Linked DNA regions of Lepisosteus oculatus. The protein of the gene in region 2 interacts with the protein of the main gene of each other region in a biochemical or structural test. Links are inferred from orthologs where the notes say so. Each region holds a gene or a part of one and is shown on either strand. Other genes may lie near its edges. The genes, in order: itgb3a and tln1.

Evidence for each region.
Region 1: the proteins of tln1 (region 2) and itgb3a form a complex in vitro, tested with the Homo sapiens proteins (6 studies listed by BioGRID and IntAct, with this or other methods). The link is inferred for Lepisosteus oculatus from reciprocal best matches to the Homo sapiens genes TLN1 and ITGB3.

What each region holds. Positions count from the first base shown.
Region 1 is NC_090723.1:2,579,080-2,586,960, reverse strand, and holds the start of itgb3a (integrin beta-3a), read left to right. Parts: upstream 1-4,278; 5' UTR 4,279-4,513; coding exon 4,514-4,592; intron 4,593-7,881. UniProt on the Homo sapiens protein: Integrin alpha-V/beta-3 (ITGAV:ITGB3) is a receptor for cytotactin, fibronectin, laminin, matrix metalloproteinase-2, osteopontin, osteomodulin, prothrombin, thrombospondin, vitronectin and von Willebrand factor.
Region 2 is NC_090698.1:26,146,295-26,154,263, forward strand, and holds the start of tln1 (talin-1), read right to left. Parts: upstream 3,635-7,969; 5' UTR 3,483-3,634; intron 3,040-3,482; exon of another isoform or gene 2,859-3,039; intron 1-2,858. UniProt on the Homo sapiens protein: High molecular weight cytoskeletal protein concentrated at regions of cell-matrix and cell-cell contacts. Involved in connections of major cytoskeletal structures to the plasma membrane.

The DNA.
Region 1 (7,881 bases), on a different chromosome or scaffold from region 2:
AGTCCCTTAGCAACAGAGATTTAGAGCTGGAACAAATCACAACTTTACCTAAACTACCACCATTTCATTATCTGGATCTTGTTTTTAATTCCTGATCAAGTACTGTATCATCTAATACCATAACGTTATAATTAAAAGATATGAATTGAAGTTGGAATACTGTTAGCACTTGCACAACTAAACTTTAGAGATTAGGAGTTTAATACTGTTTCACTGAGTGAATGGCTACTCATAAAATGTACACTTACACCTGTAGAAGATTACATTAAAAAAAACTTAAGAGGTGGATATGATTTTACATTTTGATTTAAAAAACCCACAAACTACACCACTCTCCAAACAAAGCAGTGTATCATTTTAGAATCCCTGAAATGATTTTTGAAAAGGTTAGAAAGATCATTCGGAGCACAAAATGCACACTGATTCTCACTTCTCTTTCTGCATCGTTCCATGTTCAGAAAAAGTGAAGAAAACAAAAATTCATTGAGACAAATTTAGATACAAAATTGCATTTCAACACAAAAGGAATGTAAATTAAGAGATTTAGAAATATAAAGAGCAATATATATCCTGGTTAAGAAATGCTGTGGCACATCAGATTAAAAACATTGTTATATACAGTAGTGTGATAAAACATTCAAGAACCATAGAGTTTCTTTTTACAATAAAAATCAAATAATATTAAGCCCTTTGCCCAGTTTGATCAAGCATGCATTCTAGCCTTGCCTGAAGCATCCTAATAAACCCACTGAAGCCATTGGTTTCACTGCAATATTCATGAATAGATCCAGGCCAGTAACATTTTCTGGAGATAAGATCAAAATAGATTGTTTCATACACAGACCAGGCAAGGTTTAAATAGCCTTCAAATTAAGAAGTGCAGTTATTTGTATCATTTTTATTGGCTTCAGATAAAGAATAGGGCACACATCATGTCACAGAAAATAATGTGGGTTCTGGAAAAAAACCCCACAAAAGATTCATTTCTTTTCAGTCTTAAAGGAACGTCGTGCATAGACAGGCTTTAAAAAACAGTTTTTTCTTCTTGGAACAATGGGAAAGTTATTCAAATATTTAAAGTGTTCAAAGGCAATAACAGTCTTAACTGTTACATACAGTAATGTACTTCATAATTAAAAGCAAAATCCAGACCATAAATGGACATTTCAAACTGAGAATAGAGTCCCTTCCTTATGTAAACGGTTGTGGAGACATGGAACTAGCTGCCCAGCTAAATTAGAGCTGAATTTGACCTGGTTTATTTTAAAATGAGACCAGATGATATCCATAGATCAATTTGATACTAGCAAACAAATTAGCTAAATAGACTGAATGACCTACTCTTACTTCTAAACTTTCTTGTGTTCTTATGAATGGAAAATATATTATGGGTGGGATATCACTTTGTTTTATCTCCTCATCCTTTCACAGAAAATGACATCCCTGAGAACTACACCTGAGGATAAAGAAATTAAAAGGACATGAATGAGCTAATATACTGTATTAGATAGGTTTTAATGAAGAGCGTCAGAAAGACAATGGCATTTTCTATGGCTCATTGAGGAGTGTGTGACACTTAACAGTTTTCCAGTTCTTTTGCTGAGAAGCTAATCTGTGGGCTCAAAGAAAACAAATTTCAGGAGTGCAATGTGCTCTGCAGGTAGTAAATGTTCCCTTGAAATGCTTTATTGAATTTTATAAAGCACACACAAGCCATGTGTTCTTGTCTTCCTCTGATATCAATGTGTTTAAGCCAAGTTAAATCACTGCTATTGTATTCATTGTCCTAGTTGACCATATCTTGGCCCTAACTTTTTGCTGGTCTTCTTTAGTCACCAGAAATGTACTTTCATGCTATCTCTATGTTTTTGCTAGTTTCTAGTTGCTAGTGACCATTTATTTGCTAATTAAGATAATTCAACCGTCAAAAAGGAAGATCTACATACTTCCTCTCCAACTCTTCCACCTGATGGAGCCATTTTCATTTGACATACAGGTATACAGGTATACTGTAGCAGTACCTTACAGTACAGTTAAGGAACCAGCAGAGGTTAATTCCATGCAGTCAGATAAAGAGTAAAATTCACAATGTTGTTATCAGGTGAGTGAAGGTTGAAAGTGACGGGGCAGGAACTGAAGGGATACAGGTCTGACGGAAAAAGAAATCGAAGGTGAAAAGGGCAGCAATTTATTGCTTGGGGCAGTAAGGCAAAATCCAAGGGGAGGTTTGAAAGGCAGGCATGTGTTAATTCAAAGAATGAATGGAACTGAAAAAGATTAGCCAATTGTTTTGTGCAGGGGAGTGTGTGAACCTAGAGACTGTTGGTGAACTTGGCCTCTTGTATAAGGATTTGAATCCTTGTGATAAAGAATGATTCAAAAACATTAGTTATCTACATAATCCTAGTTCTGTAAGTTTTACACATGGAGCCTGTCTGGACCTAACATAGATACAGTAGGTTACAGTGAAAACAAAATGCAAGTGATACACAATTTGTATTTATAAACATTGTTCATTTAGATTAAGAACCAAGCCATATTAAATAATGAATAACAGGGTAATGCACATTGGCCTAATTGATCTAATTAATTAATATCCGTTTGGCTTTATTTTTAACCAGATCAGTATTCATGAGTGGAAGATGGATTGAATCTTCTGCAGTTACTGTATGAGCTTTTGAAACAAGGACAAACAGTTGCATACACATGTAAGAAAAATGTTTTCTGGTGTATGAATTGTTGCATAAAATACAAATATGTATTAATTTCTCAAAGTTAAACCCATTTTTGATTTTTGATTGTGTCCACCCAGCCTTGGACACAGATACTAGAATGATCTTCAGAATAATGTAGATGAATCTTGCGAAGATTAAAGAGGGATGGAATAATTATTTGTAAAACCCAAGTATTTTGCATATCTGAAACTAGAACTTTTTTAATGTGGCACTGTTTAAAACACTAAACAAAAATGTTATCCCATGCATTGCAATTTGTTCACCTAGATGGACATTAGTGACACTGTTTCCCATTGGCACACGAAGCAGAAATTAAAGACGAGGGCTCTGGTTTTCTAGCAAAAATCTTAATAATTCACTCAGGTGTCTAATACGCTCTGCAAAGCACTTCGAAGTCCAGCACCTATCAAATTTGATTAGTTTGTGAGGGGAAAAGAGAAACTGGAAATGAGAGAAACATTAATGCTTAAGGTGCAATCAGAATTGTAAGGGCTTTGGGTACCGGATTGCAATGTGATTCCAGCACATTCGTGACTGTAACTTAGCAACCGCAGGGCAGAAAATAGAAAAGGGAATGGAGAATAATTCAATAAGAAGAGGAATACGCCAAAGATCATAGGGAGGCTGTAGTGGTTAGACTTCCATATTGGAGTCAATTTCGTAGCAGCGCTTATGGAGATGTGCATTGATCTCGGTCATACAGAAAACTGCCAGTTACTTTTCATTGAGATAGCTCTTGTTTCCACTGGCACATTCGGTCCTGGGTTACAGTCACACTTCTTAGGTGAACGATAAAAGTCTGAAATTTTGCAAAGCTAAGCTGGTCACTGGTGGCACATGGATCGCTCACAGTACACGATATACTATATGTATTCTGATAGAACCAGTAATATCTTATTACTTTAATCACTTTAATCTAGTGTTTGGATACCTTCAGTAAGAGTTCATGTACAGTATATACAGCATTAATTCCCATACAGTATGTGTTTCTATTGTGCTAACTAAATGCAAAGGAAATGTTTTGTGTAGCTTTAATTAGAATATTAATATGACCACATTGTAAGTTAGCAGATCATTCATTATGCGTGAGTTAAGGTTCATAGGCTGGAAAGTCGTCGGTTCTGTTAGCTGGGCTGGTGATGTACTTCATTTTGGCCGCTAAAGGGCAGCAGAGCAAAGGCAAGGGTAAAAGCGGCATTTTGGTCAATTGCTCTTCAAACAGAACAGCGTGTGAGCATTTGTAGATAAACGTTTGCGAACGCAAAGTAGCACACTCAAATGTATTGATCTTTCTAAGGTCAGATATGAATGACTGACTTAATTCAATGTATTATCAAGACAAAAATCTGAACTCTTAAATATAAATACACCATGAACATATATTCGTTTTGTAAAGTAATATGGATTTAGAATATATATGTTACCTATTGCAACTCCAGTTGCTTAATTTGCACAGTACATACAGTACAAAAGCGCTATTAGAAACGCGCCGCTATTTTTGTGGGACGTTATAGGTTGCTGCTATTAAGGTACCAATTCAGGATTATCTGATCAGAGCCAGTGTGGTGTTGCTCCCAGACAGCCGGTACAGCCCCTTTTGTGCCCTGACTCGTGCCTGACTAAGCCGCTTATTAGCTCACCGGAAAGACTAAAACTTCGAATCTTGTACAAGTTATGATTCACTTCTCCGTCCTGGACCTACTGAGGAAGAGAGCGTCATTTAAAGTCCTGGAGTAAACCCGACTCTTCTCACAGAGACGCGCAGACTCACTTTAAAAATGGGGAAATTCTCAGAGCGATTTAGGAAGACTTTTTGGACATTATCCTTACTCTTTTTTATGTCTTTTGAAGTTTGGGGTAAGTTTAACAACTTTAGCTAACTTTAGCTTTTTTGGTGCAAAGCTATACACTTTAGTTTACCTTCCCCTGTCGATGTGTGCATTTGTATTTCGACAAACTAACATTCCTCAAGTATGCATGTGATGTCAGTTGTTGTTTTTTTTTAGATTAATGAATATTCACTTGCATCCTTTTCCTCCCACATTCTGAGTTTTCATTTTTGAATATTCTTTTACGTCCTGCTTCGAAAAAAATATTAAAAAGAGCAGGGGGTTCTTTTGTGTTGAGAAAAATGTTACCACTGGAAAGCTAGAATGATACATTTGTAGTTTTTATTGAGGTTCTGTTATTGGAGGGGGTTGATCAAGTGGAGCGCCTTGGTTTGGTTTTGGGGCCATTAAAATGGTAAATCAATGATAATTATTGCTATCATCAGCATTCAAAGGGAAATTACAATGGACCAGTCTGAAGTAAGGAGACTTGATATTCAAAAATGTAAAATTCCCTTTTGAGCCTCAGGTTTGTTTGCATCGCGGTGCCGACACACCTAACGTTTTTAACATGCTCTGTCCACACTGAATAATGTTTGATCGAGAATCGAGATTGATTAAAAATCTCGAAATAAAATTGGTTTGCCTGCTCGGTTTTGTTTGGAATAGAAAATAATTGTTCTTCACCCTTTCTATAGTTTTTTTTTTAATAACATACAAACGATTATATTGCCAGCTTAGTAAAAGCTATTGACTTTTTGGCAATTCAAAAAGCTCTTGATGGATATAATTGTTGGGCAGATCAGTACCCAAGAGAGCATGATATATTTGGAATATTGTACAGTACAGGATGTATTGATTTGTTACAATTAATAGATCTTTTTCCAGGTCAAAAAGACAGTTTATTGAAAGTTTTTATAAAAGGTCAAAGAATGATGCTCTGTCCCAGTTCATTGTTGTTCTGTCTTTGAGCAGAAAGAGGAGACAATATGGCAGTTACTTTGGTTAAAACCTCTTTGCTGGGTTATACCATATATTACATGATTACTGTATACTTTATCAAACTTGGATTCTTTGTTCTTTTTGTGCATTTTATCTCTTTCAGATGCTCAGTACAATTACTGTACAAGAGATTCGCTGTTGCAGTGTCTTTATGTTTAAGTTGTAGTGTTTTCTTGTTATACCTCCCAATTTGGAATCACCTTGTGACCATAAACTCAGATAACCACTATGATCCTTGTACTGTATTAGCACAGTGTGCCACCCCTTCTCAGAAAGATGCCATTGAGCTACCTCTTTCACGACCTATACGCCCCCAGTTAGCAAGGGAAGGGAAGGCTGATATAGCTCTCACTGGTAGCTGCATATATAAACCATTATATTATAAATTGTATCATCAGGTTGAGGAAGATTCCTATCTTAGATAGCGTGGCAAGGGGTCTTCACATGAACCATCTAACTGTTTGTTTCCCGGATAACAGAGGCAATAACCCCTCGGTCGATTCCGGTTGGCCAGGTACGCTCATTAACCGTCTTCTTATTTACCGGCGTCCTGACCCGGAAAACGACCGAGGCTGCTACCCATTTTAACCCATTACAAGTCCTCTCTGACTTGTAGTTCTTATCAAAACAGTTATCTCTGAACTGACTCTTTACTAACTCATGAGGGCCCATGGGAGAGAGAGAGAGAAAAGAAAAAAACACCTCTGACTGGCCTAGGAACTGCTTTTATAGGGAGCTAAAGTCACCAGGTGCAGCCAATTGAGTGATTTCCCTGTGAGAATCCGAAGAATGTGGTTCTCCTAAATGGATGACCCCGCCCCTGGGGAATTCGCCTTTTCAGCCTTTGCTCTGCTACACGGGTATTCTAAATTATGATAAACTAGAAGTTTATAATCCCAGTCAAGTGACAGGGATCACCACTGGATGCTAATCAAAGGACACTTACGCCCACTCAGCCCTTTTGGAGTTCAGCCATTTGTGTGGCACTGCTTGGGGAATCCCAGTCACAGCTGGGTGATGACAGCAAAATCTGAAGTGTATGATTCAACCTTCATTTCAAGAAATTGGCTATCATTGTAAAGCCATTTGGAAACACTAACCCATTCACATTTTCACTCAGACATACAGAACTGGAGTATTATGGATATCAACCCACACAAGGGATATTAGTGTGTACATATAGTTTTAGGAGGTTTACCAGTATAAGCATTTAGTGTGGTAAATCATGGGATTGCGATTGCAAATCAGTTTGATGAGACCCTTTTGAAGTATGATGGCACTTTTGCAATATGAAATACACAGAACAAGGTGGCATTATAGATGTAAATGTTTATTGCCCTACTAGTACAGTAGTCTGTCAATGATTTAGAATTAGAAAATAAAGTGACTTACTGGGCTATGATACAGATTGATTTAGAGGTCTTTAAAGCACAAAGTCTTCAAAGCATGATTAATGGAGTGAATTAAGGTCTTTTGTAGGTAGGGCATTTGTTCTTGTGTGTACTTATTATTTATTTGCTCATTAAACACCCTTATCCAGGGTGTTTATACTGTACTTACAGTGTATACATTGTCTTAAAGTGTTCATGTACTTTTACATGAAGTGTTGGTTCAAAGAAAACAAACAACATGATTCCAAGCAAGTATGGAAAAATGAATTAAATAAATGATGCAAAAAAACAAAACAGATCACAAACAGAACTGACAAGTATTGACACAACATACAGTATGCAGTACTGAACAGTGACGCATACACCCTGTTGGTATTGTTACAGCTATAGGTGTGCCACATGGCAGAGTAAACACTTTTATCTTCAAAGCAGAGGAGATGTTTGCTGAAATGTGGGGGTTCCCCTGATCAGAAAAAAAATGTTTCCTTGGTACAGTATACCTACTGTAGGTAATTAAAATGTGGGTTAATCATTGTAACTGAGCAGTCCAGTAACACACCCTATGGTCATATTAAGATCACAGAAGGGGAATGAAGAAAAGAACAAGAAAAGGAGAAAGGACAGGGAGCAAAGGAAGGTCAGTCCACAAGGAGCCAGCAGAAACTTGAAACTTGTGCCAGGCGAGAGCCCCCACATGATCATACTGTACAAACAAAACCTCAAAACCTGACTGGAGCTTAGTATTTGAACCTTGGTAGAGAGAGCTTGCTATTCTGTGTTTTTAGGGAACTTGGGTTTCCAGGGTAAAAGACATCTTTCCTTCTTAGGGTGCATTTGTAGAATAGGGAAGTAGGCTACCATTTATTCTGTGGCATCTTTGTTTGCAGAGAGAGAGGTTTAACTGCAGGTTGTATTGCATTTATT
Region 2 (7,969 bases):
GCAGAAATGATCATATATCCCTGCAGCGATTATTAAAAAGCAGCCTATCAGTGAGGAGCAGGGCACACTTCTGTCATGCTGAAACCTGCTCCCATAATCTTTATCTCTAGAGGCAACAATTCTTGCATTAGAGAAACTTGCATTTCTCCACAATGCAGCATACATGTGTGTATGTACCCACACACAATGACTATCAGATTTAGTGGACTATCTGAACATCTTATCCAAATCGAACTAAGCAAGGAAAATTAAGAGAAATTAGTAGCTTATGTAAAAAAAACATATCCACTTCGTAACATGGTAGACTTGTGGATGTGTTATATTGGTTTAAAACCATTATCCTCTTGAATGGGCTTTTTTTCTCTCTCAGATGCAAACGTACATGCAGTTTTCAGTACAAGTTGAGAAAGGAAAGGCATTTGAAACCAGCTTCTCAGTTATGGGACTAGGAAAGTGTGAAACAGGAGTGAAGAGTAATGAAGAAAGACTTTTATGAAAGAATTTTAATGAAGAAGAGACACACAAGATGGTCAAAGCTTTTTACAGAGAATATAGGCTGAAATAGACTGAGAAAAAAACTATGCAAACTTTAGTGGTAACTATGAAGAGATTAAAACAACTAAAAGAGAATACAGACTTTTACAATGTCTCTAACTCCTTTTCTTAACCTGCACAGAACTCGACATACAGCTGACTTCAAGTCCAAGTCAAAACGCACCATATCAAAGGAAACCGTGAGAAGAAGTGCTTGAGAAACCATCTTGACGAGGAGGGAAAATCTGCACTTGTACACGAACAATATATTTAATGATTAAATGAGGACTAAACCCATTAGATCAGTCACCAGAGCAAAGGAGGTCACGGGTTTGGACAAATGAAGTAATGTCTGCTAGCCAGAGCTCCAAAAGGAAACAGTATGTTACAGATAAAACAAAACAAATGCTGTGCAGTACCTGCAGAGAGACACAGAGATGGCGCTAAGAAGGTCTGAGGTTTTGTCAGCACAGAATCAAGAGTTGCAATCAGAACACAATGAGGATGTGTCAGTATCAATGCATTCTCTAATGCTGTGCAATAGCTTCAACTAAGATTAGGTCTAATTAAGGTGAAGAGTTTTAGTGTAGTGCTTGTAAGCACATTACATATACTTCTTATACAGAACTAGGCAAATAAAACCCAATTGTCTCTACAAATTTTAAACACATGGCTACACAAAACCTAAATTAAAAAATAACAAAAGGTTCAGGAGCCTGCAGATGGCTCCATTGGTAAAGATACTGGCTCTGTGTGAAGCTGGTGCTCTATGATCCAGACATGAGTCTGAGTTTAGGCCATGTCACTAAGCTCTACTCTGACTGGAGATTCTTCAAGCTACGAGACTCTAAAAAGGACAGGGTTGGGATGAGTGGGCCTGGGGACTGCAGTTTCATCAGTGACTTCACTAAGTGACGTGCCTCTCCTCCAATTGCTGTTAACCTCAGGTACATCCCTGTGGAGCTTGTCATGTGCCGAAAGAAGACCAGATAATTGGGGAAGCAGATCAGAGGGGCCCATCTGTCCCTCTTCAATCTTGTGCAACTGCAAAGGAGTTATTGAGCCGAGCAAGCCAAGACACTAAAGACAGAATTTATATAATAAGAAAATAACTCACAATAGCATTTTTCTAAATCAGAACAAAACCATTTAAAACTCAGGGCTTCCGATCTTAACTCCATTGCGATTTCATTGGATGAGAATGACAGAAACCAGAGGAAAGAATGACTTGCAAATACAGTACATGTTCTATGAAAGAGTCAGGAGTGAATGAAAATAGGAAACAGCACCCTGCTTAGATTGAGACAGTTGCATAGGTTTACGACGTTACTATTGTTACGGAGGTTAATGGTATTTAGATGATAAACGTTTGTGGTGCAAAGAAAAAACACAAAACTACACATCATTGGTGGTGGTGTAGGGGAGTCCCCATTACCTGTAAAGCGCTTTCTGTGGAGTGTCCAGAAAAGCGCTATATAAGTGTGTTATCTATTTTATAGTTGTATATATAGACTATATGTACAGTATGTTTCATACATATAGATGCATAACATGTGATAGTACCTTTCTTTTCAGCTAGTTCTCAATCAAGTCTTATAAAAAAAACATGTACTGTAAGTGCATTTGTTTAAGTAAGGCATACCTTTCAGATATACAAAGCATACAAAAATATATTATCGTTTTACTGACTGAAAGGTTTGATTTAATATAATTAACATACTAATAATTATTCAGGTTGAAAATGCTATTGGGGATTATTGTTGTTAAAGCGGATTTCAAAAAGCCCACATTTTGTCGACGAAATGGAGGAAAAACATAATGGATAAAATAGTTTTAAGCTATAAAATACACGAATCTTTATAGTTACAGTGTTAATTCATTCTCAATTTTAACTTTCTAAAACAGAATAATTTGAAAAGTTCTAACTTCCCCTTTATTGTGAATTACTGTAGCTTATCAGATTTTCAGTAGTGATCCTATAACTCTGTTTCGATTTCTGACCTACAGTACAGTACTTTGGCTACTCACTCCCTCCTAAGAGACAATGTTACCTTTTCCTTGTTATATAAAGTAGTAACAAACAGGATATCTACACCAAAACTCTGTTCTCATAAAATAACTTATTATGTTAAATCCTATTTACAAAACGAGCCACCACCCCTGCCTTCGCTTAAGGTAGTTACACTGTCTCCAATCAATGCTCCGACCGATCAGCAACAACGTAAAACTCCTTAAGAAGGTGTGATTAAACCTAGGCCTCCGACTTTACACACCTACGTAGCTATTATTGCAAAGGTATGCAAAGATTTGTATTTCTCACTCACCTAAAAACACAAATGTTTTAATCATTATGCAGTTGTGTAACACGAAAACCCGAAGGGTCCCACGTAAGGAGCCTACAAACACGTCTTCTCTTCCTCCTTCTGGGTTTACTTCTCTTTTCTAGATGGGCTGTTTCCTTTTTACGTGCCCTACAGCAACATAAATATCCAGCTTCTTCTCCAAAGCCTTATTTACCCACGAAGCCCTCGATAAACGCCAGAAGAAAGGTTTATAACACAAATCCGACAAGTTGTCTGCTATTCAGCCAATGAGAAGCTTTCGTTGCTTTTCCTGCCTGCTTGCACTGCTCCCTTCAGTCCTTACGAGTTATTCATTTCAGATTTAGAATAAAAACGAAACTCAACTTGTATTCTGAGCGTTTTCCAAACTACTGCGATTTGTTTAGGGAAGTTTTGGAAATGCTTCTATACTAAAGTATATAAAGAAGTTTTAAAATATCCGGCCACATATCCTGGCAAAAAAACTAGCCCTACAGGGCAGTTTTACAGCAAAGCAAGTTGTCCTTTTGACATCGGAAGAGACTTCACATTCAAAAAAGGCAGTACAAAACTTTTAACCTTTAGCCCAACTTTGCATTTACATGAGCAAATAGGATTTGTACTCACCTCTTGTGATTTGTTCTCCCTGGTCACGTTTCCACTTTTATTGCTCCAAACAGAATAAATATCCCTTTTCTCCCCCAGCCCTCCGAGATGTTCCAACTGCTGGTAAATGTCAGATTGTGATTTTTCAGCTCCCTCCCTGCTGAGTTCAGCAGCAGTATACAAACTCCACCCAGCACAGACACAGCCCTAAGATGTGCACACGACGTCGTGATGCAAGCGGAGGGGCGGTTAAAGGGGACAAGGGGAGACCATGCTTCTCCTGCGCTTCACTGCTCTACAGATCTGTCCAGAAAATGATACAGTTGCTTTTCAGGGAGACCTGCAAGACCGAGCCTCGACATTTTGTTAACCCATGAAAGAATGGGTTTCTTCTAAAGAAACAATGGCAGAATGACAGCTACAACTTCATTAATGCTTGGTAAACTCACACCTGGGAATTTACCTCAAAATGGGAATGTTTTGTTTTAACATATACCCAAGACTATTAATTTTGAGACCACAATTGTCAACAACGTCCTAACGTTGTGCGGTTAAGATCTTTGTTTCTGATCTTCCCTCGGACAGGGAGTGGTTTTGCTTGGTTTAACAGGTTGGTGGTGGATTTTGCTATGATCTGAAAACCACCCTAGTTTACTAACTGCACCGGAATCGGGATCATGGATATGAATTAGCAAGAGCAGTGGTCCAAGTTCAGATCCCTGTATTAGGTATGTATCTCTGTTCTGGATGCCATCAACTCCATACAAGGCCAGCGTCTGAGAATAGTATAAACTTGGACTAAACAGAAAAAAATCACAAGCGTTCCAGAAGCAAGAGTGTAGCTGCACTTCAGTTGCTCATGACAGTTAAAGACTGGCTTTGCTTGGAGTGGCGAACAGTTTGAATCTCTCCAGTATTGAGTTATGAAATACATATGTACACACTAAGAAATACACTACTGCATTCTTCATATGAAATGCAGATATTGAAATTGATGTAAACAAAAATATACTGGAATATGCATATTCATTAATATTGTAAAAGATTTATTTTACTGAAATTTGGCTTTAAGCGGCACAGTGGCATACTGGTGAGAATTGCTGCCTTGCTGGGGCAGTGCTGGGGGACCTGGGTTCAATTCCTGGTGTGCTGTCTGTGAGGAGTTTGCACGTTCTCCCTGTGCTTGTGTGGGTTTTCTCCAGGTTTCCTCCCACACTCCAAATACAGTACTTGTTAGTAGGGTAATTGGCTTCTTGAAAACTTGTCCTTGGTGTGAGTGTGTGTCCTACCATTCACCCAGTGCTTCCTGGGATAGACTCTGGGCCACTGTGACTCTGAATTGGATATTGACATATTGAAAGTGTTGGTGATAGTGATATGTTTCCATATCAACCAATAAAAGCTACAGACGTTTGTGTTGAAATAAATTTGCATGCTACTGCTCATTATCTAGAAAGCATTTACAAACAAGAGACAGTTAAATCAAAATCCTTATACCCTTATTTAATACTATTTTAAATTGTAATTAAATTTGAAACATTTCAATGATTCAGTTCTGATTTGTTATAGTTTTAAGTTCTCCTTGCCTTTTAAGTAGTGTTTGAAGTGTTTACAAGGCTAGTTTCTGTTGCAGTAAGCACTACAGTCCCACCTAGAGGCCATCCAGTGCAACTAGGTTTCGTAAGGCATATTAGGAATAAAATGAAATACTATTTTGGTTTTCCAGACATTTCCAAAGCAATCTGTATTTTCATTTTATATAATTTCCCACCTCAGAATTCAACCCAACAATACAGTTGCTGCCAAGGCCATTAGTGACTGCACTGCAAATGCTCTTGAAATAAAACATCAATTGCTTAGGATGTGTCAGCTGCAACACAGTGGTTGTGAGCTTTAACTATAGTGTACTTCTGGTTAAGACTTAGTTGCTTCAAGATGACTGGTACTGAATTAATTAAGTTTAACATCATAAACTGATAAACTGAAGACTGCCCTTCAACACTATCACATTTTCAGACAGATAAACAAGATTACCTGGATTGTGTTGTAGTGAAAGCTTACAATAAAATACATTGAAAATGTATTTTTATAATGAGAGAGGCGCCCTGGTTATATAACATAATGGTTGTTTAGGCTCCTGGTTTAAAAGCAGTATCTCTTCAACCCAACGTGTTTACTCTTATTTCTGACTAAACAGCTATTAACAGGCGATCAATGTATGATGAAAAGACAAGTCTATAAAACATTTCCTCAATAAGTGTTTTTTTTCCTAATTGTTCAGATTTGAGACAGAACACCTGAATGGAGTTCTGATATTCACAGATTAATACAGGGTCCGTACCAATGACAAATCCAATTCAGTGTTTCAAGAGTTGAAATCAAATTTGCAACGATGGCCAGAGTAGAAAATTAAAATGAATTAGACCGCGATTCCCGAACCGGCAGCTGAAGGATACACCAGAAGGCATCGGGTTTTGGAAACGCAAGGATTGGGTCAGAATGCAGAGTGGGATGCCATATGGCACAATAAATTCCTCTCCTGTAAATATTTAGCACACCAGCTAATACCTGTATGTCCTGTAATTTCCCATAAAATGTATAAAACAGCACATCAGCAGCTCCAGAAGATGACTTCTCCTGACCATCTGTCCAAGAGGCAGCAAGGTTCTATGAGGTGCCCTAAGTTTTGGGAGTGTCCTGTAACAGGGCACTTTCAGTTGTTCCTGAGGAAAAGAACTTTAAGGCAGGACCTGTGTAGCTGTGCCACTAAGCTCTCACCTGCTCAGGCTCAGTGAGGACTTGCACATTACTATCAAATTTCGGCCACAACCACTGTTATTCGCAGTTGAGTGCTTGGTGGCACAGCCACACCAGTCGTGTCAAAAAGCACTTTCATCTCACAGCTGCCAGAAATTTTGACCAGGTTTGGTGGTGTCTTGGATACCCTTAAACTGGACTTGGATACATTCATTTTCAGACATTATTCTTGTAGAAAGACTTGATTGTTTGCTGCTACAAAAACTGTGACAGTCTGATCTGATACTTTTCATCACCTTGAAAATTTATTCAATTACTCCCCTTTTTTCATGTTTTTTAAATTGTTTTTTCTAAATCAACTATTGCATCAAAATGATTAGTAAGTTATACAAAAGAGGCAAGGCATCTACTGTACGTGAGGAACCACTCGTTTGTTGACATAACATCTTAATGTTGAAGATTCATCTTCAGAAATGTTCTGAAGTATAAGTGCTAAAAAAGGCATACAGTCATTACACAGTAATTACGCTTCTTAAAAGATAAATCTTTATAGAAGCTGTCATTTTTTTTAAAAAGAGGATATCAAAAATTGACTTACTTATTTTTACAAAAACATTATTTTGCATCTTAATGTTGAATTACAATACCTAGTCCTGTTCAATTCTTTAAGTTGAAAGATTAAAATGCCAATTAAGTATGCCTTCGACGTTGAAGCTGTAGTTCTGAAAATATTATGAGCACCCTTTTTAAAAAAGTTACAACAGTTTGTAATTGACTAGCATGAAGATGTCTTCTGTAATTCCCATCGTTCCTTTTTACACCATCTTAAAGCAAACGAAACACAAGCACAAATAAGCTAACAGAGTTTATTTGCTTTCAATTTTTTTTCAAATATTCATTCTGTTGTACATACAGAAGTCCTATCACCAGAGATCACTTTATACATAGATTTTTGACAAGAACAGGACAGTTAATTAGAAAGCAATTGATTCTATATATATAAATTACAGTTAGTTACAGTGATAACTGTACATTACACACAAAAAATCTTAAACTGTAAACAGCCTCATCAGAATAACTATAGAAACAAAAGTTCTTGGCTACAAAATTAAAAAAAGAAAACACTTAATTATTATTATACATTTCTTACACGCTTACGGTAAGGTTTACAGAAATGTGAACCATTTGTAATGAGACGATGACAGTCTAGTTTCTTGCTATTAACCCTGCCTGTTAGTTTTTCCATTGTATTTTTAGTTTTTGCACTTTTGTTTGTTCCTGTTTATTGCAGGAATAATTTGGAATTAGTCTATAATAAAGAAAATTGATATTTAATCGTCTATTCCCCAAACTCCATATTTTGTTAGTTCAATGTATTTCGAACAATCAGAAACACTTTAAATATAGAAAAATATTATTCATCCAAATTCATCTAAAATTAATTTACTATCAATCATTATTTTATTGAAGAAGTCTTTCAAACAATTTCATAGGTACTTTGTCAGAAAAGTTCCAAAATGTGCCAATTCCCTTTTAATATTACAATACTCATCTCTGTGACTTTAAAGACCCAAAACACAGAAGCAGTAACAGCTTTGGCTTCAGCCTGAACCCATAGTCTTAGTTGAAAAATGAAAGCTTTGCATCCTTTTTGCACAGCCAGCAGGAAGGTGAAATGACACCTTCATCCTAACATGAATACCCTAATAATGCCAAGTTCTTTTATTTGGTTTTTGGGTATCTTTATACAG